Linked DNA regions of Oryzias latipes. The protein of the gene in region 1 interacts with the protein of each later gene in a pairwise test. Links are inferred from orthologs where the notes say so. Each region holds a gene or a part of one and is shown in the gene's direction. Other genes may lie near its edges. The genes, in order: tubgcp4, lztr1, fbf1, pak5, glial fibrillary acidic protein and serine dehydratase-like.

What was found.
Region 2: the proteins of tubgcp4 (region 1) and lztr1 interact in binary tests that used the Homo sapiens proteins (3 or more experiments, as listed by UniProt). The link is inferred for Oryzias latipes from reciprocal best matches to the Homo sapiens genes TUBGCP4 and LZTR1.
Region 3: the proteins of tubgcp4 (region 1) and fbf1 interact in a two-hybrid assay, tested with the Homo sapiens proteins (2 studies listed by BioGRID and IntAct). The two-hybrid records come from large-scale screens. The link is inferred for Oryzias latipes from reciprocal best matches to the Homo sapiens genes TUBGCP4 and FBF1.
Region 4: the proteins of tubgcp4 (region 1) and pak5 interact in a two-hybrid assay, tested with the Homo sapiens proteins (2 studies listed by BioGRID and IntAct). The two-hybrid records come from large-scale screens. The link is inferred for Oryzias latipes from reciprocal best matches to the Homo sapiens genes TUBGCP4 and PAK5.
Region 5: the proteins of tubgcp4 (region 1) and glial fibrillary acidic protein interact in a two-hybrid assay, tested with the Homo sapiens proteins (2 studies listed by BioGRID and IntAct). The two-hybrid records come from large-scale screens. The link is inferred for Oryzias latipes from reciprocal best matches to the Homo sapiens genes TUBGCP4 and GFAP.
Region 6: the proteins of tubgcp4 (region 1) and serine dehydratase-like interact in a two-hybrid assay, tested with the Homo sapiens proteins (2 studies listed by BioGRID and IntAct). The two-hybrid records come from large-scale screens. The link is inferred for Oryzias latipes from reciprocal best matches to the Homo sapiens genes TUBGCP4 and SDSL.

The regions. Positions count from the first base shown.
Region 1 is NC_019861.2:4,181,962-4,186,500, reverse strand, and holds the end of tubgcp4 (gamma-tubulin complex component 4), read left to right. Parts: intron 1-2,604; coding exon 2,605-2,712; intron 2,713-2,874; coding exon 2,875-3,019; intron 3,020-3,105; coding exon 3,106-3,283; intron 3,284-3,478; coding exon 3,479-3,613; intron 3,614-3,695; coding exon 3,696-3,812; intron 3,813-3,915; coding exon 3,916-4,055; intron 4,056-4,126; coding exon 4,127-4,133; 3' UTR 4,134-4,530; downstream 4,531-4,539. UniProt on the Homo sapiens protein: Component of the gamma-tubulin ring complex (gTuRC) which mediates microtubule nucleation.
Region 2 is NC_019867.2:13,327,562-13,332,593, forward strand, and holds the end of lztr1 (leucine-zipper-like transcriptional regulator 1), read left to right. Parts: intron 1-152; coding exon 153-263; intron 264-339; coding exon 340-432; intron 433-532; coding exon 533-628; intron 629-934; coding exon 935-1,124; intron 1,125-1,217; coding exon 1,218-1,387; intron 1,388-1,521; coding exon 1,522-1,805; intron 1,806-1,901; coding exon 1,902-2,051; intron 2,052-2,738; coding exon 2,739-2,844; intron 2,845-2,939; coding exon 2,940-3,020; intron 3,021-3,457; coding exon 3,458-3,574; 3' UTR 3,575-3,924; downstream 3,925-5,032. UniProt on the Homo sapiens protein: Substrate-specific adapter of a BCR (BTB-CUL3-RBX1) E3 ubiquitin-protein ligase complex that mediates ubiquitination of Ras (K-Ras/KRAS, N-Ras/NRAS and H-Ras/HRAS).
Region 3 is NC_019866.2:15,834,404-15,837,870, forward strand, and holds the end of fbf1 (fas-binding factor 1), read left to right. Parts: intron 1-1,020; coding exon 1,021-1,143; intron 1,144-1,372; coding exon 1,373-1,549; intron 1,550-1,651; coding exon 1,652-1,828; intron 1,829-1,899; coding exon 1,900-2,037; intron 2,038-2,102; coding exon 2,103-2,184; intron 2,185-2,265; coding exon 2,266-2,381; intron 2,382-2,392; exon of another isoform or gene 2,393-2,496; coding exon 2,497-2,574; 3' UTR 2,575-2,627; downstream 2,628-3,467. UniProt on the Homo sapiens protein: Keratin-binding protein required for epithelial cell polarization. Involved in apical junction complex (AJC) assembly via its interaction with PARD3. Required for ciliogenesis.
Region 4 is NC_019882.2:2,184,323-2,188,295, forward strand, and holds the end of pak5 (serine/threonine-protein kinase PAK 5), read left to right. Parts: intron 1-183; coding exon 184-310; intron 311-462; coding exon 463-588; intron 589-670; coding exon 671-805; intron 806-1,549; coding exon 1,550-1,705; 3' UTR 1,706-3,058; downstream 3,059-3,973.
Region 5 is NC_019866.2:4,109,672-4,114,809, reverse strand, and holds the start of glial fibrillary acidic protein, read left to right. Parts: upstream 1-1,722; 5' UTR 1,723-1,752; coding exon 1,753-2,264; intron 2,265-4,010; coding exon 4,011-4,071; intron 4,072-4,565; coding exon 4,566-4,661; intron 4,662-4,742; coding exon 4,743-4,904; intron 4,905-4,988; coding exon 4,989-5,114; intron 5,115-5,138.
Region 6 is NC_019880.2:17,707,591-17,712,846, forward strand, and holds the start of serine dehydratase-like, read left to right. Parts: upstream 1-1,962; 5' UTR 1,963-2,045; intron 2,046-2,298; exon of another isoform or gene 2,299-2,428; intron 2,429-2,818; 5' UTR 2,819-2,890; coding exon 2,891-3,037; intron 3,038-3,113; coding exon 3,114-3,150; intron 3,151-3,219; coding exon 3,220-3,359; intron 3,360-3,432; coding exon 3,433-3,521; intron 3,522-3,598; coding exon 3,599-3,832; intron 3,833-3,905; coding exon 3,906-4,036; intron 4,037-4,887; coding exon 4,888-4,974; intron 4,975-5,256. Other genes in the region: apoptosis-stimulating of p53 protein 1, read left to right, coding at 683-724. UniProt on the Homo sapiens protein: Catalyzes the pyridoxal-phosphate-dependent dehydrative deamination of L-threonine and L-serine to ammonia and alpha-ketobutyrate and pyruvate, respectively. Also exhibits racemase activity towards L-glutamate and D-glutamate.

The DNA.
Region 1 (4,539 bases):
GTGGCTTCATGTCAAAAAAAAGAATGAAGGAGTTCCAGGGCTCCAGACTGCGACCAATTGGTCGCATTTTGCGACCAAAATTTGAGAGTGTGCGACTAAATTTTACATCCAGTCGCACATGTGCTACCAGTAAATTTGCCTCCCCCACCCTCCGTATTTTTTTATACATTAAACGTGGAAGGGGCACGTCAATGATCAATGAAATGAGCAATTAAATAATCAATGAGACGCGAGCGCACACGCATGCAGGCAGACAGACACACACACTCGCGCACATACTCATGAAACGCGAGCACACACTCGCGTGATACCTGTCTGTGAGGCGGCCACTGCGTGTGAGAAGAATAGGGAAAGCCACTTTAAGTGGCTAAAATGCGTGTAGGGGGAGGGGCCTAGAGATAATCGAGTGCGTAAACATCTGTGGGAAGGAAACGGAGACAAATATCATCACAACCTAATATGTGCGTCTGAGCTATGAGCAAGCGAACTATTGATTCATTCTTCCGACCTGCGGCTATGTGTACCAGTGCCAGAGTGTACAGCAGGGGTCTCAAACTCGCGGCCCACGGGCTATTTGCGGCCCCCAAGATGATATTTTGCGGCCCCCGCCTTAATATGAAGGCTTAATGTTACTGCAGCCAGCCAGTTTGTATGAAAGACACTTTTTCATCGTCGTGCACGGAGCTGACAAAGCAACCAATCACAGTGGAGTAAATGACTCTTGGGGGCGTGACAATGACAGGGCTTGAAAGCAGGAAACCTGACAGCCCCTCCCTCCCCGGACCACATTAAGGAGTTCCTTACTTTCCTTTAGAACGTATTTATTCGCTCGTAATTTTCTAAATACATGCAGTCCGTGCTGAACTTTTCTCTGGGTCACACAGATCCAGAGGACGGTTTAGGTTTTGGTTACGGTTACGGCGGCGCATAAAACGGTTATGCACGGCTGTTACGGCAGCACGCCGCTCCAGCGGGAGTCGGGTCAGCTGAGGAGAATAAATGTCCCACACCTACATGCGTGACAGCTAACGGGGCTTGAACTTTAAACACGGTCGAGCAAAAACAACATTAGTTTTAGACTCACTGAAAATACGTGTGGAAAATGCAACGATAGACGTGTTTGAGATGAACCAGCGCTTCGCCTGGATCGTTTGGTGGGGGGGCTGTGAGATGAAAGCGAATCTGCAGCGAGACTGAAGGAGAACAAGAAATTGGAGTTGTCCTTAACATTCAATTTAGTTTTAATATTCCTCTCCCCCTTAGTGTGATCTGTGTTATTATATATTTTATGATTATTTTAATGTCTTGTGATGTATGTAGCCTTTTTTAATGAATTGGTATTTTAAATTATTTTAATTAATCACTGCACTACAAAAACCATCAGGACACATGTCCCATAATGCATTGTTTTGTAGTCATCAGGGCAGCTTTCAGTCAGTTCAGTTTCCAGCTGTGTTCGGGTAGGTTTGCCCCTTGCTCCCACCCCTTTCTCGCGATATTTTTGTGATGATTGACAGTTGATGTTGGAGCAAAAACAAAAATATATGTCTCACACCAGGTGATCTGTGCAGCGTTGAGTTCACCTGGGTGATCTCAAACACGCTTATTGTGCATCTTGGCTGCACCTATTTGGTGTCACAAAGATAAATTCCCATCCGTTTTCTTTACTATTTGGACTGTCATGACAGCGATGTTGCTGTCAGTTTACCTTCTTGTTGCATCTTCAAAAGTGCAGAATAAAATGTGACACTGTATTAGAAACAGCACATTGTAATTTCTGCATCTATCATTAAATTTTTTATTGGTAATACAGTGGAAATTAGGAGATTTGGTTAGCATGTTGATTTTCTGGTTGTGCCCCCAGAGTTTTCAGTTAGGGGCCACAGTGCTCCTAGTGAAAAAAGTTAGTCTGGAGCCCTGAGTTCTCTCAGGGGTGGTGAAAGGTGGACGCCCATGTTCAGCACCTTTCCAGTAAAACACTGAAGTTCAGTGACGCCCACACACCAGCAAGGATCCTGAGCAGCTGGAATGAACCCTTGGGGGGTACTGAACCCTGCTCCCCCACCTTAATAATGTTCCACAAATGGTGAATTTGGAAGAACAAACGATAGTGAAACCTTAGTTATGTCACCCCTCCTGCCGTTTGAAGTCCGATCATCTTTTTTAATCGTGATTATGCTGGAAAAAAACTGTTTTCTAGAACGTAGTTGCTGCTGAGTGGCAGGAGTTCCAATATAAGCATAAGGCAACCTCACCCCTTTTCCTTCCCCAATGCTGAGAGCTCTCTGTTTACAGGTTCTCCTGCTAACTTCCAGCCCCTCACTGTGAGCAAAGCTGGAGCTCTCCAGCCGCCCAGTTTAGAACCAGATTCCAGCTCAGACGAGGAAAACAAAGACGTTCATGTTTGTCTGACAGTCGACGTAATTTAAGCTTAATGTTCTTTCTATATGTCACAAGAACAAGTTAAAAGACCAAACACGCCATTTTCCTGGGCGGGGGTTTCTAAGGAGAAGCCCTTTAGTTTGCAAACAGCCGTTGTCCTCTTTGTGTGTTGGTTTTGTTGCTGGTTGATTGTGTGTTCTTGCTTTTCTTTCGGTGTTGCAGACGTGAACGTTGCCTTCCAGCAGGCCGCTCATAAGGTTCTGTTGGACGACGACAATCTGCTGCCCCTGCTGCACCTCACTGTGGACTGCCAGGGCAAAGACGGCAAAGGTGTGTGCAGGAAGTGCCGAGGAAGAGCGTGAACCCCATAAAAATCCTCTCTGACCCTCAGCGGCTGGGATTCCAGGCGGCTTTAGGGCGGCGGTGCTGAGGAACAGATGCGTCTTCATAAACAGTTATGATGCTAAACGCCAAAACGGTTCGCTCTTGCAGAGACGGCCGGCCCTAGGGATGGAGCCACGCCCCCTCAGGACACCTCCCCCCGTGAGGCCCCTCCCACAGGCTGGGCCGCGCTCGGCCTCACCTACAAGGTCCAGTGGCCGCTGCACATCCTCTTCACCCCCGCCGTTCTGGAGAAGTGCGTGCAGACCGGCGTGTCTTTGTAGCTGTTTTTTTTCTTTCTCAGAGCTGACCTCTGACCTCTGTGCTCCACGCGGCGTTCAGGTACAACGTGGTCTTCCGGTACCTGCTGAGCGTGCGGCGCGTGCAGTCGCAGCTGCAGCACTGCTGGGCCCTGCAGATGCAGAGGAAACACCTGACCTCAAGCCAGACGGATGCGGTGAAGTGGCGGCTCCGCAACCACATGGCCTTCCTGATCGACAACCTGCAGTACTACCTGCAGGTGAGCGGAGGCGCGGGCTGGCTCCGCCTCTAAATCTGCAGATGTAAATCTGCAGGGTCTGCTTCCAGCTGTAGGAGACATTTGGGTGGAGACTTCAGATCACTGCAGCATGTGCTCGGAGGCTCAAACGCATTGGGGGGGCGGGGTCATTTAAACCTCCTGACACCCCCTCCCTATCTGTCCTCTTGTCTCTAGGTGGATGTTCTGGAGTCTCAGTTCTCTCAGCTCCTGCAGCAGATCAACTCCACCAGAGACTTTGAGAGCATCCACCTGGCCCACGACCACTTCCTCAGCAACCTGCTGGCCCAGTCCTTCATCCTGCTGAAACCGGTACGGCCCAGCCCGGTACGGCCCAGCTGAGCTGCCCCGCCGCTTCTCCTTTGACGCCACCGTCCTGTTGTTCCTCTGTTAGGTCTTCCACTGCCTCAGCGAGATCCTGGATCTGTGTCAGAGCTTCTGTGCTCTGGTCAGTCCCAGCGTGGCGCCGCTGGACGAGAGAGGAGCCGCCCAGTTGGATCTGTTGGTCAAGGTACAGCTAGCTATGCGCTTAGACGGCGTGCACTCTGGCGGCGTTCACTCTGGCGGCGTGCGCTCTGACGGCGTGCACTCTGACACAAACTCTGAAACCGCAGGGCTTCAAGCGCCAGTCTTTCCTGCTCTTCAAGATACTCTCGAGTGTGAAGAACCATCAGATCAACTCTGACCTGGCCCGGCTGCTGCTCCGGCTCGACTACAACAAGTACTACACCCAGGCGGGGGGCACGCTGGGCAGGTAGGAGCCACAGAAAGACGCCACCTGTCAGATGACGAGTCAGAACCTCATTGCACCTCCTCTGCTTCTAGTGTCTGAGGCGTTTGTGGAAGCTGAATCTACGGAGCTCTGCAGGCTTCCAAACATCCCAGCTAAGACTCCTCCATGTTCACCCTGAAAATGAAAGGAAGGACCAGAGAAACGTCTCGACTCGACATCAGACACAGACTCCCCCGAGGCTGAATGGCAGCAGGAAAGTCTGCATTTTCCTAAAAAATGTCTCTCTGCCAGTGAGAGGAGATAAACCTGCTCTAAAAGTAAATTAGATTAAAGAGGACTCGCGTTCTAGGTCAGCTTCCATTGTGTGTGTGTGTGTGGGGGGGGGGGGGGTCGCTGGTTCAAACAGAAGCAGCACTTCACCTCACCTCCAGCAGGGGGCAGAAGATTGTGGCGTAAATGTGTTTGTACCAATAAAAGGCGGCTTGGTAAAATGAAAGCAATCACG
Region 2 (5,032 bases), on another chromosome or scaffold:
TAATTCATACAGTCCTCAAGCTGTCTGGGTACTTTACACTCTCCACTGAAATTGATGCTCTTTCTGTTCTTTCCTTCTTGACTATGCACATTTGTTTAATAACCCCCCCCCCTACAAAATCTGATCTGTTCTTCTGTCTCACCCCCCCTCAGATGCCCAGTGGAAGGCTCTTTCATGCTGCTGCTGTCATTCAGGATGCCATGTACATCTTTGGAGGAACTGTGGACAACAATGTTCGCAGTGGGGAGATGTACAGATTCCAGGTTTGTCTGAATGACCGATCAATATACTTGGCTCCAAATGTCTTTGGTGATCTTATGAACTTCCCGTATCTCACAGTTCTCAAGTTACCCAAAGTGCACTCTCCATGAAGATTATGGTAAACTGTGGGAGAACCGTCAGTTTTGTGATGTGGAGTTCATTCTGGGCGAGGTGGGTTTTACCTGTTGGATGATACACTGCATATACTGCAAAGTGCAGGTTAAAATGTTAAAAAAAAAAAATGGCTTCATGCTTTTCTATTTCTTCACAGAGGCAGGAGAGAGTCTTGGGGCATATCGCTATAGTGACTGCAAGGTGTCAGTGGCTGCGGAAGAAAATCCTACAGGCTCAGGACAGACGTAGACAGGTCTGAATCACACATTCAGTGCAGCTTTTTGTTTGTTTCAGTATTGAAGAGTATTTTTTGATTGTGATTACCACCTGCGGGTACAGTAAAAAGATGGAATATAATAATTAAATAACACATTAGAAAGTTTAGCTGAATTTAGAATTTCATTTTAATTTAAGCTGCATCTTGCAAACTTAAAATGTGTAAAATTAGATCATCGTTCTACAAAGAAAAACATACTGCCGAATGAGTAACTTTACCAGTAGATGGCCGAAGCTTGGAGGGTTGGAAAGAAAGCGTGTTGTGTAATATGTTGTGTTGCAGAGGACGAAACAGGAGAGCAGTGAAGAAAGTGATGAGGGAGCAGCTGGAGGCCCGAGGGATATCCCAGCAGGCAATAGGCCATCGGGCACACAGCCCCTGCTGGAGGTCTTCATCAGAGAAGCAGAGGCCCAACCTTTTGAAGTCTTAATGCAGTTTCTCTACACAGACAAAATCCAGTACCCCCGCAGAGGTATTTCTCGCTCCGTGCTTCAGTCATTCCTGTAGTATAGGTTAAGATTTGGGGGAAAAAGTGAACAAAGTCTGTTTTTCTCATCCTCCACAGGCCACGTCCAGGATGTCCTTTTGATCATGGATGTATACAAACTGGCTCTCAGTTTCCAACTGTCCCGGCTGGAGCAGCTGTGTGTGCAATACATTGAGGCATCTGTGGATCTCCAGAATGTTCTCATTGTTTGTGAAAATGCCAACAAGCTGCAACTTGATCAACTCAAGGTAGAACAGAAAATCTTGTTTAATTGAGCTAAATTAACTTTATTAAACCAAGAATTGATATATCATTGATGCGAGGCATTTATTCGGTCATTGTTTAGGCCTAACACTAATTTTAATGTTTTTCTTTTACACAGGAGCACTGTCTGAATTTTGTGGTGAAAGAATCCCACTTTAACCAGGTGATCATGACCAAAGAGTTCGAGCAACTTTCCACCCCTCTGATCGTGGAGATCGTGCGACGAAAGCAGCAGCCTCCCCCCAGAATGTACTCTGACCAGCCAGTGGATATCGGGACTTCCCTGGTGCAGGACATGAAGGCTTACCTGGAGGGAGGGGGCTTAGAGTTCTGCGACATCATTTTGCTTTTGGACGGGCATCCCCGGCCTGCACACCAAGCCATACTGGCAGCTCGATCCAGGTCAGACTTCTTCGGTCTTTTGCTTCTTAAAGATTTCAGATACTGTAATCTTACAACAGGGTTTAATCAACTCTCATCATGCTGTTTATTTTGCAGCTACTTTGAGGCAATGTTTCGCTCCTTCATGCCAGAAGATGGTCAGGTAAATATTTCCATTGGAGAGATGGTCCCAAGCAAGCAGGCCTTTGAGTCCATGCTGCGCTATATCTACTACGGCGATGTCAACATGCCTCCAGAGGACTCCTTGTATCCTTGTCAATGTTGCATTATCCCCACAAAAGAGACTGAATTTAACAGCAGTGTCTAAAAGAGAACATAAACCTAGGACAGATTTCTAGAAGTAGTTTCTATTGTTCCTAACCTAAGAATATGAAGTCTAGAAAATATATTGAGTACCGTGTAAGTTGCGTTTTTTACAATAATTTGGCTAGGGGTGTGACTTATACTTAGAAGCGCCTTAAATGTGAAATTATTTTTTTTACACAAACAGGATCCTATATTCCCTATTTTTCCATTAACAAACTGTTACCTTTTAGCAGTTGTTTTCCACTAACACATTTGTGGTTCAATATTAACGACTGACAGAAATGCACAGAAGCCTGAAGAAGAACCTGTCCAAAACAACCATGGAGGAAAATCTGATTGTTCTCCTGCTGAGCTTTATATTTGTCTTACTTCCATTGAGACAATATTGTTCTTTAAAAAAAATTTTTTTTTTACGTGCTTCCTGATTTTGTTGCGTGAATCGTAGTATTACACCTAGCTTGTTGCACTTATCTCCCAAAAGTGCGACTTATATAGGTTTTCTTCTTCTTTTTTTGGTCCTGCGACTTGTATTCTAGTGTGACTTGTACACCGAAAAATACGGTAGTTAGAATGTTTTTCAATGAAGTCATTGTAAAATGTTTAATTTCCTTAACCTTTAAATGATAGATACCTATTTGCTGCACCATATTACTATGGGTTTTCTAACAATAGGCTGCAGGCTTACTGTAAGCAAAACCTGGAGATGAATGTCACTGTGGAGAACGTCTTGCAGGTATTTGTTTTACTGTTTGCGGGGTGGGGACAGAGACTAAGCTGTGCAACCAAAAATGAAGAATTTGTTTTCACACTTCTTCCCTGTCCTCTCAGATTCTGGAGGCAGCAGACAAGACCCAGGCTCTGGACATGAAGAAGCACTGCCTCCACATTATTGTCCACCAGTTTATCAAGGTGGGTGGGCTTTTAGCCGGAGCCCTGGGAGTGTGCTGTCCACTCACCGCAGCTGAGCTAACCCTCTAGTCCTATTGTCTTTGCGGGAAACTGAAACCTTTGGTCTCCTGGTGGACAGTCCTCCTTCCTGTACAATGAAAAGGCTGTTTATAGTTTGGGCCGGCTGTACAAGCAACTCATCACATAACAACGAAGGTCACAGTGGCAAACTGATTATTGCTTGTTATTTAAAGAAACGACAGAAGACCCAGTTCTCACTTCATTTCACTGGAGTGTTAGCTCTGCTGTTCTGATTCTTTTTTCTTTTTTTTTGCTGTTTCATTTTTTTGAATGCACAAATAATCATCAGCTTCTTTTTTTTCTTTTTTCTTTCTCCTTGTTTTGATTAAAGTGTGCTTCTTTTTTCATTTTTGCTTTGTTCTCCTACCCTCCCAAAGGTATCCAAGCTTCCCAACCTGCGGTCCCTCAGCCAGCTGCTCTTATTGGACATCATTGAGTCTCTTGCTGCACACATATCAGACAAACAATGTGCTGAAATGGGGTCTGACATTTAGGATGACTTGGAATGCGAGACGTTCTTCCCCTGCAGAAACCGCCAACCTTCACTGCACCGCATTCTTCCCCATCATCATTTCCCCCACACCTTTGCATGTCATCTTCCCTACAGATGCCTTGTATCCACGCTTTGTCGGATGGGATTTCAATGAAGGAGTCACATTCTAAATAATATGCAGTTTTTCTGTTTGTCTTTAGGCACTGTTTTCATTTTTTCAGTATTTTTCTTATATTTTATAAATGCATACACATAATATGTACAATGTATTGTAAATTTATAAATGCCAATTTAGAAATGTTCATATCTACTCAAATCTGTACAACAATAAATATTTAACTTGTCAATCTCTGTGAGGCTTGTTTGTATCTATGTCATCATAGAGGAGCTGGCTATTAAAACAATCTTGAATTTTGTGGTGCAAGCACCAAATCTGGCATGGATATTCTTGGCAGGTAGAAAAACAATTCCTTTAACCACTTTGGCAGGTGAGACAACCATGACTTGAATCTGTCTGCCTCTCCTCCACTTGGCTACCACTAACATCCATCTCAAAGTTGATTCAAGCATTTAATTCTGACTTTATTGCGCAGATTTAATACTCGCATGTGTCGCAGCATGAGGTGCATTTAGGGGCTCCATGATTTTTCTAGCATTTGATCTGACCTTAGCCAACTCAAACACACTTCTTGCTCCATGTCATTGTAACTCCTCGACACACTGAACTTCATAAACTCACAAGAATGCAAAACGTTACACTTATTTCAATTTATGCAGGGTTTTTCTATGCATGATATTTTTGGAAATGTTTTTTAAAATTATTTTATTGTTTATCACTAGCTTTACAACTCTTCTGTTGTACAGTCAAAAAAACATTTGATTTGAACAAAATGAAGGTTCAAAGAAATGTTGAAGTTTTAAATAAATCAAGACTAGAAATAAACATTAAGGCTTTGATGAATAATCAATGCTGTAAAAGAAAGCTGTGTGTTCATAAAAAGGTTCAGAGATAAGAGGTGTATTTTGTTAAAATAACATTTACATTTCTATAATGTTATAAAGCCTCACATAAGATGACACTTTCAGTCATTATTAGTTTTTTGTTTTTACAAGAGAATAATCATCAACTGAAAATTTACAAAGGGAATGCCTGTTTTGCGTCCAAATACATAAATCATTTTCCAGAGAAATGTTTGGCTATGAGAAATTTTGGCTGGTGGTCTTTGGATGTTACCGGCCACCCCGGCGAGCAACTTAGTTAATTTAGAGCCCTGTCTATCCATGCCAAATATGGCTCTTGTAGCACAAAATGCATGCTTTGTCTGAACTATCAACCTTACCGGCTCTGCTATAAGTGCAGCCTAATATGTGGGAAATTCCGGTCATTCCTCAACATTTAATTAAAAGCTACAGTGAACGCTCTGTCTTCACAAACTCACTGGAGCATCTGACAGGTGAT
Region 3 (3,467 bases), on another chromosome or scaffold:
AAAGATGGCATCTGTAGTTCTCTTTCTTAGCATGAAACCATACTGCTGCTCACAAATGTTAACTTCTCCTCTTAGTCTCGGGTCAGCTACTCTTTCCCAGAACTTCATTGTCTGGCTCATCAGATTTATTCCTCTGTAGTTTCCACAGCTAAGGTCTTGTGGCCACCATAAACATTTCAAAACTTTCCTTGGATAAAGTTAGTTTGACATTTTTATTTATTGTTCATTTTGAGTAGTAAGCAATTAACAGCAGCCAAAAAAAGAAGAAAAAAAACCTATTTGACCCTTTGGGTTCTCCAGGGTTAAAAAAGTGTTTTCCTTGTAGCATAGTTGGGTCTTTGCATGTCTTTATGGGAAGTGTTCCAGAGTTTTAGCCTCTGAGAAGAAGCGGTCACCATCATTGAATCACCAATAGATTCTAATCAATAGAGCTCTGCTAGATTGCTTTGTGGTTTATAGTTCCATTACGTAAGAGGGTCCAAGACCATTGGTTGCAATGGAAAACCATTAAACACACTGGAAGCAAGTAAGGAGAATGCAGAAAAGGGATGTAGGAATTTCTCACTGTTGGTAACCCAGCAGCAGGATTCTGGATAGAAAGATTCTAAAGACAGATTGCGACAAATTCTTTACTTGGTAGTTAAAGACCCGTTCCGATGAAAATGGTTTTTAAAATGTTCTTGTAGCTTTTTTCCGATGGAGTACAAGTTTAAAGAAAATTCATCTTAGAATTGCGTTTTTGAGTGTTTCTTTATTCAAATTGTTGTAAATCATCAAAAATACTTTTTTCAAAAGAGCTCATTTGTGACAAAGAAAATAACCTGGGAGGGCCACAAGCTTCCTGCTTTTAGCAACGGGAAGGGGGGCGGGGTTGCTCCATGCCAACAGTTCTAACGAATCATAAATAAAAGGCCACTGCTTTTAAAATATTTTGAAAGGTGATCGGAGGGGGATCTGAATGAAAACTGTTTTTCCAAATGGAATTCAATCCACCACACTCGTTTTCTCGACTGACTTCAGGAACGCTGGAAGGTGGCATCAGAGCAAGCCAAGGTGGAGTCGCTCCAGAGGAGCCTGGAGGAAGAGCGTCGTGTCCTCAATATGCAGACCAGCATGGAGAGGGAGGAGTTGGAGAGAGCTAAGGTGAGGCTGGCAAACACCAATCTCCTCTAGGGTCAGCTGTGGTGCTGAGGTAGAGCGGGTGACCTCTCTTGCCCGTGTGTTGAAGTGTCCTGTCCAAGGACACCAAACCCCACATTGCTCCTGGTGGTCTGATGACAGCAGAGATTGGTGGCTGCAAAGTGATTTGGGCTTTGATAATGGTAGAAAAGTATAAGTATGCATCATTTATTGAGCTCCATGTCTCCTCCAGAGTGTGCTGCTGGAGGAGCAGAAGTCGGTGATGCAGCACTGTGCAGAAGAAAGGAGGAAGCTGGCAGCCGAGTGGGCCCACTTTCACGATCAGGATAAAAGGAGGCACGAGAGAGCTGAGCGGGAAGTTAGCAGCCTCTTGGATAAAAGAGAAGGCTCCATCATAACTCTGGCACAGGTACGACTCAGAATCAGTCACGGTGAAACCAATTCTCAAGGCAAACTGGTTTGTGGTTGTTTATCACAAAAGACAGTGTTGGATTTGTTGTTCCTTTTGCAGGAACAAGCTGACTTGAAGCTTCGCACAGCAGAGCTGAAACAGAAAGAGATGGCTGCAGCACAAGAGCGAGAGACTCTGGAAAGGCTAAGAGAAGAGCTAGAAAGAGAGAAAGAGAAAATAAGTAGTGCAGCCCTGAGGCTGGAAACTCGGGCTCTGGAGGTCGAGTCCTTCAGCAAGGTGATCTAGGATCAAACAGAACCTCGAAAGTCTGTTCAAATGAATCCTAACATAAAAAAAATTCTCTGCAGCTCGCCGCTAATAAGTATGAAGAGGGCGAAGAGGCGCTGAGGGAAGCGAAGCGTGTGGAGGCGGAGCACGAGGCCCGCCTAAAGAGCATTCACTCACAAATGGAAAGTCTGAGGATGCAGGAAAATCGCATTCTAAAGGTCTGCAGTTCTCAGAATTCCTCAGAAGATATTTTTATACTTAATTAACTGCTTTTATTTTTTAGGAGCGCACAAAGCTAAACTATCTGCAGGACAAAGCACAGCAAACACAAACCTCAAGCTTTAAAGCCCCACCTGTTTTACCAGGTAGTTGGAATCTGTTTCAAATATTTTGTGGCCAAACAGTAAGGATGGATTTTAGTTTGTTTTCCTTTTCTTTCACTTTAGTTTCAGTGTTACCCACTCCTGAGCTGACTGCAGACTTTATTCCCAACTTGTCTGCAAATCATCAGTCAATAGCTCGAGAAGCGTGCCTGGCCCTTTGGAAATACACTGCAGAAAAGGTAACTCTTGATGGTTTTCACTCGATCTTTATTTTAAATGTGGCTTTAGAATTGAAAAGTAATGTACAAGTATGAATTCATATTTCCATTAAAAAAACCATTTTCCTTCCCACAGGAGACTGAATTCCTCCAGGAGGAGCAGATTTATCTGGACAATTTGAGAAAAAAATCCTACAGATTAAACACAACCTGACAATGTTTTTTTTTCCCAAAACTATTTTTAATCTTAATAAAACAATGTTTAAGTTTAAATGGTTGTCTTTAATCCCACTGGAACTCTGTCTGCAGCTGCAGCTGCTAATCTGTAACAGAGAGAGAAGACAAATGTAATCCAAGTATTTTAGTTACTTCAGGATGTCATGTCTGCTCATTCAAGCCTCAGGTTACCGTGACTCCACAGCTAAATTCAGACAGGGATAACTTGTATCATCTTCGGCTTAACTTCCTCTTCCATGCAATTCTGGGAACACTTACTTTTTGTAATATCTTCAAGATCTGTACATCTTGTAGTCCAGCTTTACATCAACACATCTGTAACGCAGAAGAAGACAAACATTAGAAGAACTCCAACTATTCTTAACAGCAACAAGTGCTGCATGTCAATCTCATAACAGCTTTTTAGTTTTCGCATCAGGCAGCACTTCCTATGCAGTAATTTTCACTGAGACGTGTAACAAGAGTAAAAACTTAACACAACTCACCTTTGATGACTGTCCTCTCCTAAGCAGCTGAAGCGTTCCCTTTATGACCTGCAAGAAAACAATCCATCAGTAGCAGTTGGAGTTCTAGTAACATGTAACAGTACACAAATCTACAGCAGGTCAGATACCATTGATTTCCACATGTTTAATGTCAGACAGGGATAACAAACTCATCATATGCACTGCAGGAGGAAAATATAACTATTACAGATGTCTGAAAATGTACCTTTGGATAAGTTATCCTGAAAGATCCATTTGATGCCTGAAAGAAAAAAAAAGACTTATTATAGAAATATAACCACATTTAAAACTATACCATCAGTTTCAGACGCTCCAACAAAGTTTTAATCATTTATTTGGGGAAACACCACTAATACTAGCTCCA
Region 4 (3,973 bases), on another chromosome or scaffold:
GGCTGCTCTGCAGAGTCATTTCAAAATAAAAGCATGTCAGATGGCATTTCTAATAGAAATGTATCAACGCTTCTTTGAAATGAACAAAAAGAAATTTGGAAAGTGTTGCTTCTTCTTATAGATTTGAGGTCTTTATCAGCCTTTTATCAAGGCTTTTGTTCCGTGTTTTCTTCCCGTGTTCAGGATGAACGAGGAGCAGATTGCCACCGTGTGCCTGTCGGTGCTGAGGGCTCTGTCCTACCTGCACACGCAGGGCGTCATCCACCGCGACATCAAGAGCGACTCCATTCTGCTGACCAGCGACGGCCGGGTAGGAGAGTCTCCGTCAGATCTTTATCCGCTAATTAGGTGTCTCTTAACGAGCTGATAAGAGAGGATTCGTGGAAACGTAGTTAGGAGAGATGAGTGTCGTGTGTGGAAGGTCTCACCTGCTCCACGGCTGAAAGCTGTGTTGATCTGCAGATCAAGCTCTCCGACTTTGGCTTCTGCGCCCAAGTTTCCAAAGAAGTGCCCAAGAGGAAGTCTCTGGTGGGCACGCCCTACTGGATGGCGCCAGAGGTCATTTCCAGACTGCCGTATGGCACAGAGGTGGGGGCTCGGTGTTAGCTGGAGGTGGGGGGGGGTTCATGCTTCATTCCAAGCAGTTTGACTGGTTTCTCTGTGTGTTCAGGTGGACATCTGGTCTTTGGGCATCATGGTTATCGAGATGGTGGACGGGGAGCCCCCTTACTTCAATGAGCCCCCTCTGCAGGCCATGAGGAGGATACGGGACAACCTGCCCCCCCGGCTAAAAGAATCACACAAGGTTAGGAATAAGACAAGTGACATTCTTCTCCGTACTGACAGATTTGCTTTAAAATTTGTCATAAACATGAAGAATTTTCTTTTCTCTCTTGATTCCCACATTGCAGAAACCGAATCTTAAGGAAGAAACTGTCTTTTTTTTCTGTCATGCAAGAAAAATAATCTTATTGAGAAAAATCTTCCACGGCAATCTTGGTTTACGAAAACATTTCTCAGTGACCAAAAGACTTATTTTTAATCATTTAAAGAAAATGTTTCATAACGTAAGACGTATTTCTGAAAGGGCCTGTTTGTGAAAGACTTTTATCAAAACTATTTTAGAAGAAAAAACTTAATTTAAAGTACAAAAATACACATTAAAGCACAAAAATCTCTTTTTTACGCTTTGAAGGGTCTATATCCTGCTTTTCGTAAGCCTTTTAGAGTAAACTCTCCATATATATGATGATTTTTCTTTATTATTTTACCCTAAAATGTGTTCGTTTTATCCAAAAAATGTAAGAAGCAGAAATGTTTAGTCCTCTTTCAGTTTCCTTTTATAAGAACTTGTGGTACATTTTTGTTTTTGTGAAAATGAAATGAAATAAAGAAATTGACAAGAAAAGATGCTAACAGCACGTTTTAACCTGCCGGACATCCGTCAGCGTTGCTGCCTTGTTGGTGGTGGTGGATGGTGGTGGTGGGGGGGGGGTCACATTGACATGCAGTTGCTCCACAGCCTGAAGGCTCTCCGTCCGTCCTGCAGGTGTCGTCGGTGCTGCGGTCCTTCCTGGACATGATGCTGGTCAGGGAGCCGTCACAGAGGGCCACCGCCCAGGAACTCCTCCAGCACCCCTTCCTGAAGATGTCCGGCCCCCCCTCTTGCATCGTTCCCCTCATGAGACACTACCGCCATCGCTGACCTAATCCCGCCCACATCCACTCCCCTCTTGGGCGGCTCCGCCCCCATCCAGCCAAATGCCGCAGTGGCTCTCCGCTGTAACCGCCGCGTAGTTTAGCTAGAGGAACAAACATTTACAGATAAAAGGAGGTAAAATTAAGATTTAAAAAGATTCCTTTTTATACCATGAACTGAAAGGGTTTGGTGCCACAGACGCTCACTGAGCGTCCGGCGGGCGAAGGGCAGGGGGGCGGGGGCGGCTGCAGTCTTCTTCCTTTCCCAGATGACGAGTCTTCAGCGAGACTCCTGGTAGCCATCAGCCTTCCAAAGCTTCAGAAAGGTGTGGCGAGCAGCTGAGCGGCTGGTGGAGCCGACCACGCCGTGCCCCCCCAAGGCAGAGCGACGGAGGCGGGGGCAACAATCAGCCTGAACGGAGGGGTTTTTCACTGAGGACCGGCTCCTGCTAAACTGACGAGCTCTCTTCAGTCTTCTCCAAATGTATTTTAGAGGAACTTGTATTTCTGTACAGTTTTGATAATTTGCAGTATTTTATTGTGTCGTAACAATTGTGATATGAGCAGTATTAATAGAGTTTCTGCAGAGATTTTTCATACCGTTTTTAATCCATTTTTTTGCTTAAAATTACGAAATATTCCAAATAAATCCACCTAAACACGAGTGTTGCTAAAAGTAATATATTTATGAACTCATATTTGTAGACAGAACTTCCATTAAATGTTGGAAAAAAAGGGTAAAGTTCAAATTTTGTACAATATTTTAAAGTATTTATTTATTTATTGAAAGGGAAGGTATATTTTTGTTTGTAGTGTGGCCTTTTTTTTCCTTTTCTTCTTCTTCCTTTCGTCTGGGGATTTTTGGTTTAAAGAACGTCGGCTTTTATGTCCTCCAAGCAATACCGCAAACCGGTTTCTAAAATCACACTGTTACCGTTTAAATGTAGCACAGATAAGAGTTTGGCAAAAAAAAAAAAAAAAAACACTTCACTGAACATTTTTGCTTCTTTTATGGCAGCCTCCTTGTGTGTTTTTTTCATGGAGGGGGGTCCTTTCTACTGCGCCGGTCTGTCATCGTCACTGAAACGGAGAACGGTGAAGCCCCGCCCCCCTCTAACCACATCGTTTTGACCCCGTCCCTCACTGTGATCTGTAAATACGACGGTGCGCGTGCGGGAGGAGTGTGTTTGTACAGACCCTGAGAGCAGGTGTGTGTTTGTCGTGAGCTAAACCTCCACCGTGTGTTCAGATCTGAATGAGTTACACTTTAATGTGGTTCTGGCCTGTACACTGAAACTGCATGTTTGTTATCGGTGAATCTGGTTTCAATTAAAAAAAGACGCTAAAGCAGGAAAACATCTTTTTTTTGCTTTAATTGTGTGTTTTATTAGAAGCACTTTACAGAGTTACGTTCAGTCACCTCTTCCTCATATTTTCCGATCCCAGCTGTTTTCTTTTACAACAGTTCTCACCTCATTACACGTTAAAGTCCCACTCCGATGGAAAAAATGTGTTTTTAACACCGAGGTCATTAACTAACAAAATTAGGCTTAAAATTGCATTTTTGTTAATTTCTTTGTTGAAACGAGCAGGTGAAAACGTGCCGTTTCAAAAATAATGTATTTGTGTTGTCGAAAATATGTGGGGCGGGGCCAAAAGTGCCCTGCTCCGCCCCATTCTGATGCACCCACCTGCAGACAAATAGATCCATGAACGTCTCTGTTTTCCTCGTCTGACCTGAAATCTGGATCTAAACTGTAGGGCTGGTTAGCTCCAATGTTGCTCGTCGCACCACCAATATGCGGTTGAGGTTGTGAGGGGCTGTAAGCTAGTGGGAGGGGTGAATTTCTGATGAACTCCTGCAGCTTTGTAGAAACTAGGGAACACATTGAGAATAGATCAAAATATGGTCAGAGGGGGACTTTAAAAGCAAAATCAAGCATCCATGCTGACGTTAAGGATTTCCGTCTCGGACTCCTCTGAGAGTTTTTTTTTTTTTCACTCACAGCAAAAGTCCAGAACTCAGCAAATAAACTGTTTATTTGATTTCAATTGGGAAAAGCGACATTAATCAATGTTTTAGCAGAGTTGGAGCATAAATTAGCACAAAAGCTGAATTACATCTGTTGTCCAAAGGCAGACAGAAACATACAGAGAAACATATTATACATACATGTCATACAGCGTAACCTTGTGCTATCCTATGACCCCCCCCCCTTACAATGACGTGTTCTCCCTACCATGACAAAGGTGGATAAAGGTGGAAAGATTTCAT
Region 5 (5,138 bases), on another chromosome or scaffold:
GAAACCAGCAGGAAGTGAACATGGTGCATGGAGACCCCTGATGAACATGTTTGTTCCCACCGTCTTCAGTTCATACTGCATTTTAAAAATAAAACATGTCCAAAGAATTTAAACATGTTACCAAGGTGTTTAAAAGGACAAATTTGGAACAATTTTGGAAGTTTCAGAGTAAGCCCCTGATGTATGCAGATGATTCGGTTGTTTTTAGCAGTTTTTAAATATCTGTGCCTGTTATGGTTTAAAAAAGAATATTTTATATAATTCTAGTAAGGGTTCTGGGTTGATCTGTTGTACCAGAGAAGATGTGAAATTGAATTTTCCGTTTTTTAAACTGTCCAGTACTGAGCTCGATGTCTGTCATCCAGTAACATATCTTAGTCATGTTATTGATGACAAAATGATTGATGACAACAACATTCACTGAACTCTTAAAAAAATCTTCTGGGTGGCATGTCTTAAAAACCCATTCAGATTCAAATTAAACTGGGTTTTGAGTGGTTTTACCATGTTCTAGTGGCATTTTTTTCTCATGATAGAGGACATATGTGAAGATAATCAACCTCAAAATTGCATTTTTGTGTATTTCTGTATTTAAATTGTTGTGAATTAGCAGGAAAAACGTTGTTAATGTGATGTAGAAACATCTACGGCAAGCCACTAGCTCCATTCTGATGCATCCACTTGTGGACAAACAGATCCATTTTTGCCATAGTTTTCCTCATCTGAGCTGGGATCTGGATCCAAACTGTCCGACTGGATAGCTCCAATATTGCTCCCATTTTTCCTTTGCTGCTCCGGTTATGTTAGGTTGGTAAGCTAGTGGGAGGGAGTGTAAACAGACGGATGATGGGAAGGATGTGGGGCTCACTTGCAGCAATGGCCACAACCCAAAGGTGGATTTTTAAATATTACTACCGCTATTTGGGCTAAAAACTGCCTCATTGTAAGTAATAGACCACCGGGAACATTTTTATAATAGATCAAAAGAGGATTGGAGTGGGACTTCTTTGAACTCTTCGTTACCAGTCCCAAAATTGAACATACTGGTTTGGACACCCTTTTAAGTCCTTACGTTTTTACGTTTATAATTTATGTTTTACTTGTATTTTATTTCTTCTGTGTGTCATATTTTTATGGTTCTGAGATTTAGAGCTCAAGTATGGAATAAATGTTGGTTTCATTCCTACATTATTGTATTTAACAGGAGAAAGCCAATAGGTTGTTAAAAAACATTACTGCTGATAGTTACTGTTTGTCATAATTCTGTAATCCCGTGCAGAAGTGTGTGTTTAGCCCTAAATGCTGAACTCAGCTGTGTTTGTCTAACAGCCGTCTTCTGCGCTGGATTTGCTCCGATCTGCCAAACCTTGGCTGGGTTCTTTGGGTTTGTTGCCTTCAATCAGAACCTGTTTTTTGTTTTTGTGGTCCAGTTTCTGGTCAGGCTGGAACGGCGGCCAGACGGTTTCACACAAATTCCTTTTCATTCAGTTGGAACAGAAAGAAAGAGGGTAAGACAAAAAAAAAGGGGGGGGGGGAGTGAAAAAGGGAGTGAGTCAGAGGACCAGGAGTGACAACAATCCACGGCCCACAGCTTTTTCAGTCGGATGCAAACCACCCCTTTATGCGCCATTCACTGTCTGCTGCCCTCCCTTCTCCCTGCCCCACCCTGTGGCCTCTGTGTTCTGGACTTGGGGGCAGTTCTTCAACTATAAAAGCCCAGTTTGTCCCCTCTGTGAGCCCATTCCCCCCGTCATGGAGAGCCAGAGAGTCCAGTCCTCCTACAGGAAGCGTTTCGGGCCTCAAGGCCCGGGCAGTGCAGGGGGAAGACTATCGTCCAGCCGCCTCTCCTGGCATGGAACCCCTCGAAACATCTCCATCTCCAGCCCCATATCCCGGACCTCCCTGGGCTCCTCTACCGCGGCCCTGCTGATGGGGAGTCCAGGGGATCGGCTGGACTTCTCCGCCGACTCCCTGCTGAAGGCCCAGTACAAGGAGACGCGCACCAATGAGAAGATGGAGATGATGGGCCTCAACGACCGCTTTGCCAGTTACATCGAGAAGGTGCGCATGCTGGAGCAGCAGAACAAAGTGTTGGTGGCAGAGCTGAACCAGCTGAGGGGGAAGGAGCCCAGTCGCCTTGGGGACATCTACCAGGATGAACTCAGGGAGCTGCGGCGGCAGGTGGACAACCTGACCACAGGCAAGGCTCGACTGGAGATCGAGAGGGACAACCTGGCTGCAGATCTGGCCACGCTTAAGCAGAGGTAGGTGTGAAAAAAGGTGGTTAGTGCAGGGTGGTGCTCAGAGATAACCTTTATCCTTTGTGTCTCTTGTTTGGAACAGAGCTGTGGTTAACTGAAAATGTAACTTTCAATTTCAAATTTCTGAAAAAATACCCAAAAATTAGAGAAACTTAACTCTTTTTTTAAAACACATTTTTATTTTCAAAGGATAAATTTGATTTCAAATGTATTGCTTTAGAATTAAGTCCAGTTTATCTGGATTAGGTTGGAGAAATCCTGGCACAGGGGAAGAAAACGTTTTCCTTTTTTTTAAATTACAAGAGCATTTATATGTAGATTCTTTTTGAGAGGGGGGATTTGTTAGAATGCAGATCTCCATGGTCCGCCTGAGCTTTGCTACTGGATCCCTCTATACAAGCCTGATCCCGACTGAACCCCTCGTCAGCCCCGAAAGAGTGTGGAGGAATGAGGCCAACACAATGGTGGCCCTGCACAAAGAGAGCAGCCGGGGAGATGTTCTTTGAAGCTTCGCATTTTTTCCTTTGCGGCTGCTTGAATTTATGCCAGAAGTTTTAGAAAGAATGACTGAAGGTCTGGGGGGGGAAAAGGTCTTCAGCACAGTCCTCTTTGCCCTCTGCTCCCTAAAAGACGGTAGGGTGAATAATGATACGGTGGCTGAGAGGGTCAGAGGTCACCTCTTCATTGATGCTGCTCCCATACCAAGACTACTCAGAAAACTCTGCATGAACCTATACAGATGTTGGAGTGAGATCGTTGCGTGTCTGTGTTTGGCAGATGGATTGTGGGGCGATGTCTGTTTTTTTAATTTTTTTTTATTTTGTGTCAATGTGTGTTTGCATCCTCCTTCCCGTGGGAAAGGCCTCTGGCTGTTAGGTCGCAGTGAATGTGTAATGATGCATAAGCTGCCCTTTCAGCTGAGCCTGGCTCCTCCTCCCCTGCACCACAAGGAGCAGCATTAAAAGCATAAAAGTAGCTGATGTTGTGTGAGAACAGAGAACGACGGGGTTATTTGATTCCAGACCAGGGAATCAAACATCATCAGGGAAAAGGGCAGCATGTGCACTTTTTTTGTTTTTTGCCCCTTAGACGATACAGAAATAAATATTTTATTGCACGCTGACAGCGAAATATGAGTTTTGAACGATGTACAAAAATGAATCGTATAATGGAAATAATGTTAATGTGAAACTCAGCCCTGATTCAAACCCAATCTTCTGGGGACCTCAAAGCAGGAACCTTCAGGGGGCCCCACCCCTGAGGATATTGATCACATCATTGTGATGTATAGTTGTGTCTGTCAATGGAAAGGAGAAGGAGATCGGAGAGCCTTTCTTCTTTCACCAATTTTAGCTTGGAGAAAGATATCTCTACTGTTGTTGTGGACATTGGAAAATGACCACAAGAACAGTAGATTAATCAACTAGATTAGCAGAAAAATCTGATTCTCCAACTCACAACTGGATGTTATGTGACGTCATTTCCATAAAGGGCAGGGGCTCAAGCACCTCTAGAGGTCCTGTGTGTGCATAGGACCTCTAGGGTAACGCCTGTTGAAGCAAATAGACTCCACTTGGGTTCCAAAATTACCTTAATTTAGCATCTACTTGGAAGCAAAAACACTAAATCTTTTTTTTTTCCTTAGCTGGAAATAAATTCAGAAATTAAGGGGTTCATGAAAAAAAGCTGCATTTAAAAGGTTGTGTCTCCCTTCAGAGAATCTGAAAGCGATCTGTTCTCTTTTGACAGGCTGCAGGATGAGATTGTGCAGCGTCAGGAAGCAGAGAACAACTTGAACGCCTTTAGACAGGTAATCTTTAGTGTCACTGCGTACATTTTGCGCATTTTAGCACATCTGAAATTTCAGTCTGTTTTGATTCGTGCGTGATATACGTAAAACAAAAGTGGCTTTTGCTTTGGTCAGTCGTCGATGTGCTCAGATGTCCAATGAGGGTTTCGATAGACAGGTCTTCACAAGAATTCGGTTCTGAGCTGTTCAAAATTTTGTTGCTTGAGAATGACGAAGTTTACGCATATTTTAGGAAGTTTACACGCAATTAGTACGTAAATCTTACACAAAAGTGCATGATTTTTGTGTGATGCATACACAATTTTGTGGCTTTCCACAACTGTTCCACTTGTGTCTAATAGTATTAGTCATACATTATGTGCCATTGAAGTATGACTTTTAAATCCTGTATACGGCGCATATATGTTAAAATTACGTAATTGACGCACAAATCACTAATAAATTATTTAGGAACAGCGCAACTTTTCTGAGTCCTCGTGTCGTTGTTCACGCAGGATGTGGATGAAGCATCTCTCAGTCGTGTCCAGTTGGAGAGGAAGATTGAATCTCTTCAGGATGAGATCAACTTTTTGAAGAAAATACACGAAGAGGTTTTTCAAAGCTGATTCAACACAAACATTTAGTTCCTATGTTTGTTTGTTTTCAACTCTTTCATAACTCTTTCTGATCAGGAGCTGCGTGAGTCACAGGAGAAAGTCTTGGCCCAGCAAGTCCATGTTGACCTGGATGTTTCAAAACCAGACCTAACTGCTGCTCTGAGAGACATTCGACTCCAATATGAAAACCTGGCCACCTCCAACATGCAGGAGACAGAGGAGTGGTATCGATCCAAGGTCAGTTTTTCTGACAATTAATGTTCGCAAGCAGAATTTGTTTTACTTGTGTGAGGGATATATTGTCTATCTTTTGGGTTACAGTTTGCTGACCTGACAGATGCAGCCAATAGAAATGGAGAAGCACTGCGCCAGGCCAAGCAAGAGGCCAATGAGTACCGGCGTCAGATCCAAGTGTTGACCTGTGACCTTGACGCTCTCCGCGGGACAGTGAGTCCACAGCCGACGCCGTTT
Region 6 (5,256 bases), on another chromosome or scaffold:
GACTTTCTGACTGTTTGCTTCAACTTAGCATATTTGGACCCTTTTCTACCCTCAGCTAAATGTATTTAAATATTAAAATATGTCTATCGTTAAGCTGCACATAAAGTCTTTACCTTTGATACCATGACTTTATGTGCAGACCACATAAAATGTAACTGTGGTTCTTGCTATGAACAAACGTTAAATAAATGATTCAAAACAAAAGCTGCATTTATTAAAATGAACACCTTAACCCTTAGATTGTGTTTGGGTCCAAATTGACCCGTTTTCACATTTTAAAACCCAAAGACAATTAAAGAAAATGATCTGACTTGCATTATTCCACTGTATGTGCTTTTGAACTTTACCGTTTTTAATATGCACCTATTTCAATCATAAAAGATTTATTAGAGCTGTAGGCTCTTTGTTTGTGTATTTTCACGATGCTAGTTTTTTGGGAGTTAGTCTGGCCTGACACAATCAGAACAGGTGTAGAGCCCTAGAGGGAGAGACCTGAAGAGTGTAGATGCTGGTGATGACTGTGGAGCTGATGATGCATCCTGAGGGTAGGAGAGGTGGAGCTTAAGCCAGAGAAGGGTTTGGAATGTGGAGACGCAAACAAAATCGTGTTACTGATGTTCAGCCACCTTGAGAACAATGTTAACACGGTGTAGTGACCCGCTCCGTCTTGCTCTCTCCACAGCTGTACCCGAGGATCAAACCCAGACAACGCTCGCTGGCATGAAGCCCGGACCACAAGGCACGCTGGCAGAAGTCACATGCACGGCCAAACACGACAAAGGAGAAGAGGAGCATGCGGTTCGGAAACAGAGACGGAAAACCTCAACGGAGAATGAAAAAAGATGGCAGAGACTGCATTTAGTCTGAATGTAGCAGAACCGATTCATGGTAGAAGCATCGTTTCTTTTTACAGGCCTGGATTTTGGATCCAATGCTTGACAGGCTTCACGAGAATTCAGCAGCATGAGAAAGGTGCTGAAGAAAAAAAAAAGATTCCGTTTAACTTTTGGATGTAACTTCAACGTTAATGCAGCTTTAGAAAGTGAAAATATGATGCAGATGTTTTCAAGTTCTACGTGATATTCTCCAAAGAATCTACCATTAGCCATCACTTTTTTATGGTTTTTACAGCCAAAGAAAAAACGCGATGAGGTGGAAGGAGGTGAAAGAAAGTGCATTTTGAATGTGAAGACGGAGAGGAAAAACGACGAAGGATGCCTGAAAGTTTTTTGAGTGGCTAAAAAAAAGGGTTTTATTGGAAGTCCTTTTCATGTCAATGTTATTTTGACAGCCAGTTGTTAGTGGACAGCAGAAAGAGGAAGTAAGTAGGTTTAAAAATTTGACTGATTTTTATAGTTCAGAATAAAGAGGCAGGCTCCTTTTATTAGCAGAAAAACCTAAAAACCAAAAGTGCAGTGTTAAAAGATTTAATCAGCTCTTATTAGGCTTTTTACAGCAAAGTCAACCTCTGTTTTGAATGTCATTAACTATAACATTTTTCAGTGTTATTATTTTTCTCACCTTTTCATTAGTGTTGTTTAATACCCCTAATGTTGCTGTTTTATTTAAAACAACAATTTTTTTTGTATTTCTATGAATAAATATTACTAGTATACCCTTGATTTTCTGTCAGAAATGACTCGCTTCTGCCACCTAGTGTACAGAAAGGGTTTGGCACAAATACAAGAACTGGTCATCAACCCCCCCACCCTGTATGAACAATGAAGCAGTTCGCTGAAAGACGTTTGATGTGAAGGTTGAACATGAATTTTGAGGAGTATAAATCATCATTCTGTGTATATGCAAGCTGTAACTGTACATGTAATGTGCAATAATAAAAGTTTAATCCATGCAAAGACTGAAAGCTGAGCCTCTTTTGTAGCAGCCGCAGTAATAGTGTGTGTGTGTGTGTGTGTGTGTGTGTGCGCGCGCGCGCGCGTCACCTCATAAAAAGATTAAAGTCTTCAGAATAATACTTTGGACTTTAGTGCTCATGAGTTCTGCTTCGCCATCATTCAATCTTTCACCTAAGAAAAACATTTCAGGTACTATACTCTTAACTTGCATCCCTATGCCTTTTTTAATTCTTAAATAAAAACACTTTAGTATAAATTATAGGATAAATAAGAATGTATCAGGACAAGAGCATATTTTTATATTAAAACAACAACAGAGTGAATGTCAACCCTGTTTTCCGTGCGTTTTATTTCGTAGAGTCGTAAATAGTTGAAATGTTAGTGTTACTATATTCAATGTAGATAAAATATTTTTTCAAAGCAAAAGCACGGTCAGTTTATATTTTGAAAATGTTGACCGGAAGTGGTCGAGCTAGCTTAACTTCTATTTTGCTCAATGCTACTTGGTATTTTTATTTGTAAGGTGCTTATCATTACGAAAATTAGGCGCATGTTCAAAGCAAAACATTGAAGTATGACCAACTATAATATTATAATACTATCCTTTGCCCGTTAAATTATTTACGTTATGTTGACTCGCGCTGTTTTATGTAGCGGTTATCTTCGTCAAACTAAGCTGTAGCTTTTTTAAAGCTGCAGCATATATTTTGATAAATGTATTGCCTTCGCTTTTTTAATATGGCAAAAAAATGTTATTTTTATTTATACAAGCTTTTTACTGACAAAAATATTGTGTTTGTTATATCGGATTAATAGCCTTTCATGATGTATGTAATAAACTTGTTTTTTTACGAAACAGTTACATAATGCGTATTGTCAGCGTCTGTGTTTTTTTTCTGAGTGTGCCTGAACGCATCACTGATTCAAGTTAATCAACACATTCTTATCCTGTGATTTCCTAGCCTGTCAGAGCTCCCACAGCCTCAGACTTCTCCTCTGAACTGCTTTGAGCTCTAGTGGGGAACAGTGGCACCATGTCCCAGCAGTTTCACCTGAATACACCTCTGCTGGAGAGTGTCAACATGTCCAAGCGAGCAGGCACCACAGTCTACCTGAAGATGGAGAGTTCCCAGCCCTCTGGTTCCTTTAAGATCCGGGGAATCGGACACCTGTGCCAGCAGGTGGGAACCTCAGTCGCATTATTTTAAACATATATATGTTTGTCCTATTTAAAAAAAGTTTCATTCATACTTTCAGCTCGCCAGACAATCTAAAGGAGTCGTCTGCTCTTCGGGTATCATTCGTTTTGTTGTTTAACTCTTTGGGGTGGTTCTGTTTTATAGTGGGTGTTTGGGTTTTCCAGGTGGTAATGCAGGTATGGCTGCAGCCTATGCAGCCAGGAAGCTTGGCGTGCCCGCCACCATCGTAGTCCCCGCCTCCACTCCACAGCTGGTGGTGCAGAGACTTAAGGATGAGGGCGCGGCTGTCAGGATTGCAGGGAAGGTGAGGTGTGATGGAATGGCGTGTAGAAGCGCCACTTCAGAAAAAGAAAACGACATTCCAGTTTTGTGCTCAGGTTTGGGATGAAGCCAATGTAGAGGCTCTCAGACTGGCAGAGACGGAAGGGCTGATGGTTATTCCTCCGTTTGATCATCCTTTACTTTGGTAAAACAACTGTTACACATTGTCATTGGACTTTTCCCAGACGTGATTCACGTTTGTGTCCCCGCATTTATTTACAGGCGGGGCCACGCCAGCATGATTGCAGAGATTGCAGCCTCTCTGGGTCCTGGGGCGAAGCCTGGAGCCGTGCTGCTCTCTGTGGGTGGAGGAGGCCTCATGTGTGGGGTTGTCCAGGGGCTGAGGGATGTGGGATGGATGGATGTGCCCATCATCGCCATGGAGACAGTGGGGGCCGACTGTTTCAATGCTGCCGTTAGAGCTGGGAAGCTAGTCACTTTAGACGACATCACCAGGTCAGATTTGGTACAAATGTTCAATATTTCCACCTGATGTTTGGGGTTGCGTGTTTAATCTGTGTCTTCACAGCGAGGCCAAATGTCTTGGAGCAAAAACGGTCTGCAAACAAGCCTTCGATTATAGCCAGTGCCGCGAGCTGACCATCATCTCGGAGGTGGTGACGGACCAGCAGGCTCTGCAGGCTGTCCTGACCTTCCTGGGTTTGTGATTTGAAGAACATTAGCAGTGGCTTTGTTCTAATGAGTGGAACTTCTTTCTACATTACTCAATAATTATTTTGAAAAAAATGTGCACATTATTTTCCTTAGTTGGTGAGATTCCTATTTATAGGGTTTTTACTGATTTTCTGTGCCTGCTTGACTAAAGAACCCCAACCTTTTGCTGAGCTCCATTCTCTGCAGCATTAAAAACATCACAGCTTAGAGCCAGATTCCAGCTCAGACGAGGAAAACACGGATCTAGTCGTCTGCAAGTGGTTGCTTTGAGCTTGTGGCCCAACCATAATTTTTTCTACTAATCTTTTTTTTTAATGGCATTTTTTCTTTTGCTCCTGATTCTAGAGTAAAGAGATAGTCAGAAATTCAATTTTAAGCTTTATTTTCTTAATATATTTCTGCCATCATCAGAAAAATTCAACAAGAACAAATTAAAAATCCTATTTTCGTTGCAGGTTAATAGTTGTAGAAGCTGAAAATAACAAACCAGCATCAAGCTAACTGAAGTTTACTCCTTGTACTTTGGCCTTGTGTCTCTTTTTCCTCTTTTTTTGTGTGTGCCTTCAAGTATTTTGGATTTTGCTGCCTTCCAGGTCACTTCATTAAATGAGGTTTGGTCTCGCCTGGTCAAATTAAAGAATGAAGCACTCAGCATTTGTCTTTTTTTATTCAGAGCTCAGTGAGTCAGTAACTTAGCATGAAACGTTTTTCTTGGAAATTCTAAAGGGCTGGATTAGTTCAAAAACATCCGAATAAAATGCACAAAAAGGATGAAAGTTCATGTGATTTGCTCTCATGTTTGCTCCTTGAAGACATTTTTGCTGGTTGTCTTGCAGATGAGGAGCGTGTGCTGGTGGAGATGGCGTGTGGAGCTGCGCTCGCCGCTGTCTATGGCGGCCTCATATGCAGGTTACAGGCTGAAGGTACCATGATAAATAGTATGGCTTCACTTTTGAAACCCTCCCGCCCGTTGACTGTATAAAAAAAAAACGGAAGGAGTGACGTCTCCCATAGAAAATGGCAATTCAGTCGCCATTTTTTTAAGGAAAAGGACGTCGCCATGTCCTCATTTGTCAACATTTCTATGGCAACCACTCTCACCAATCAGGAGTGAGCTTGTTGGAAGTCCACACCCCAAGCACTTGAAAGTTGGCTACATGAAATCTGTTAATCAAACATTTGGAACGTTTAACGTGAGACCACAT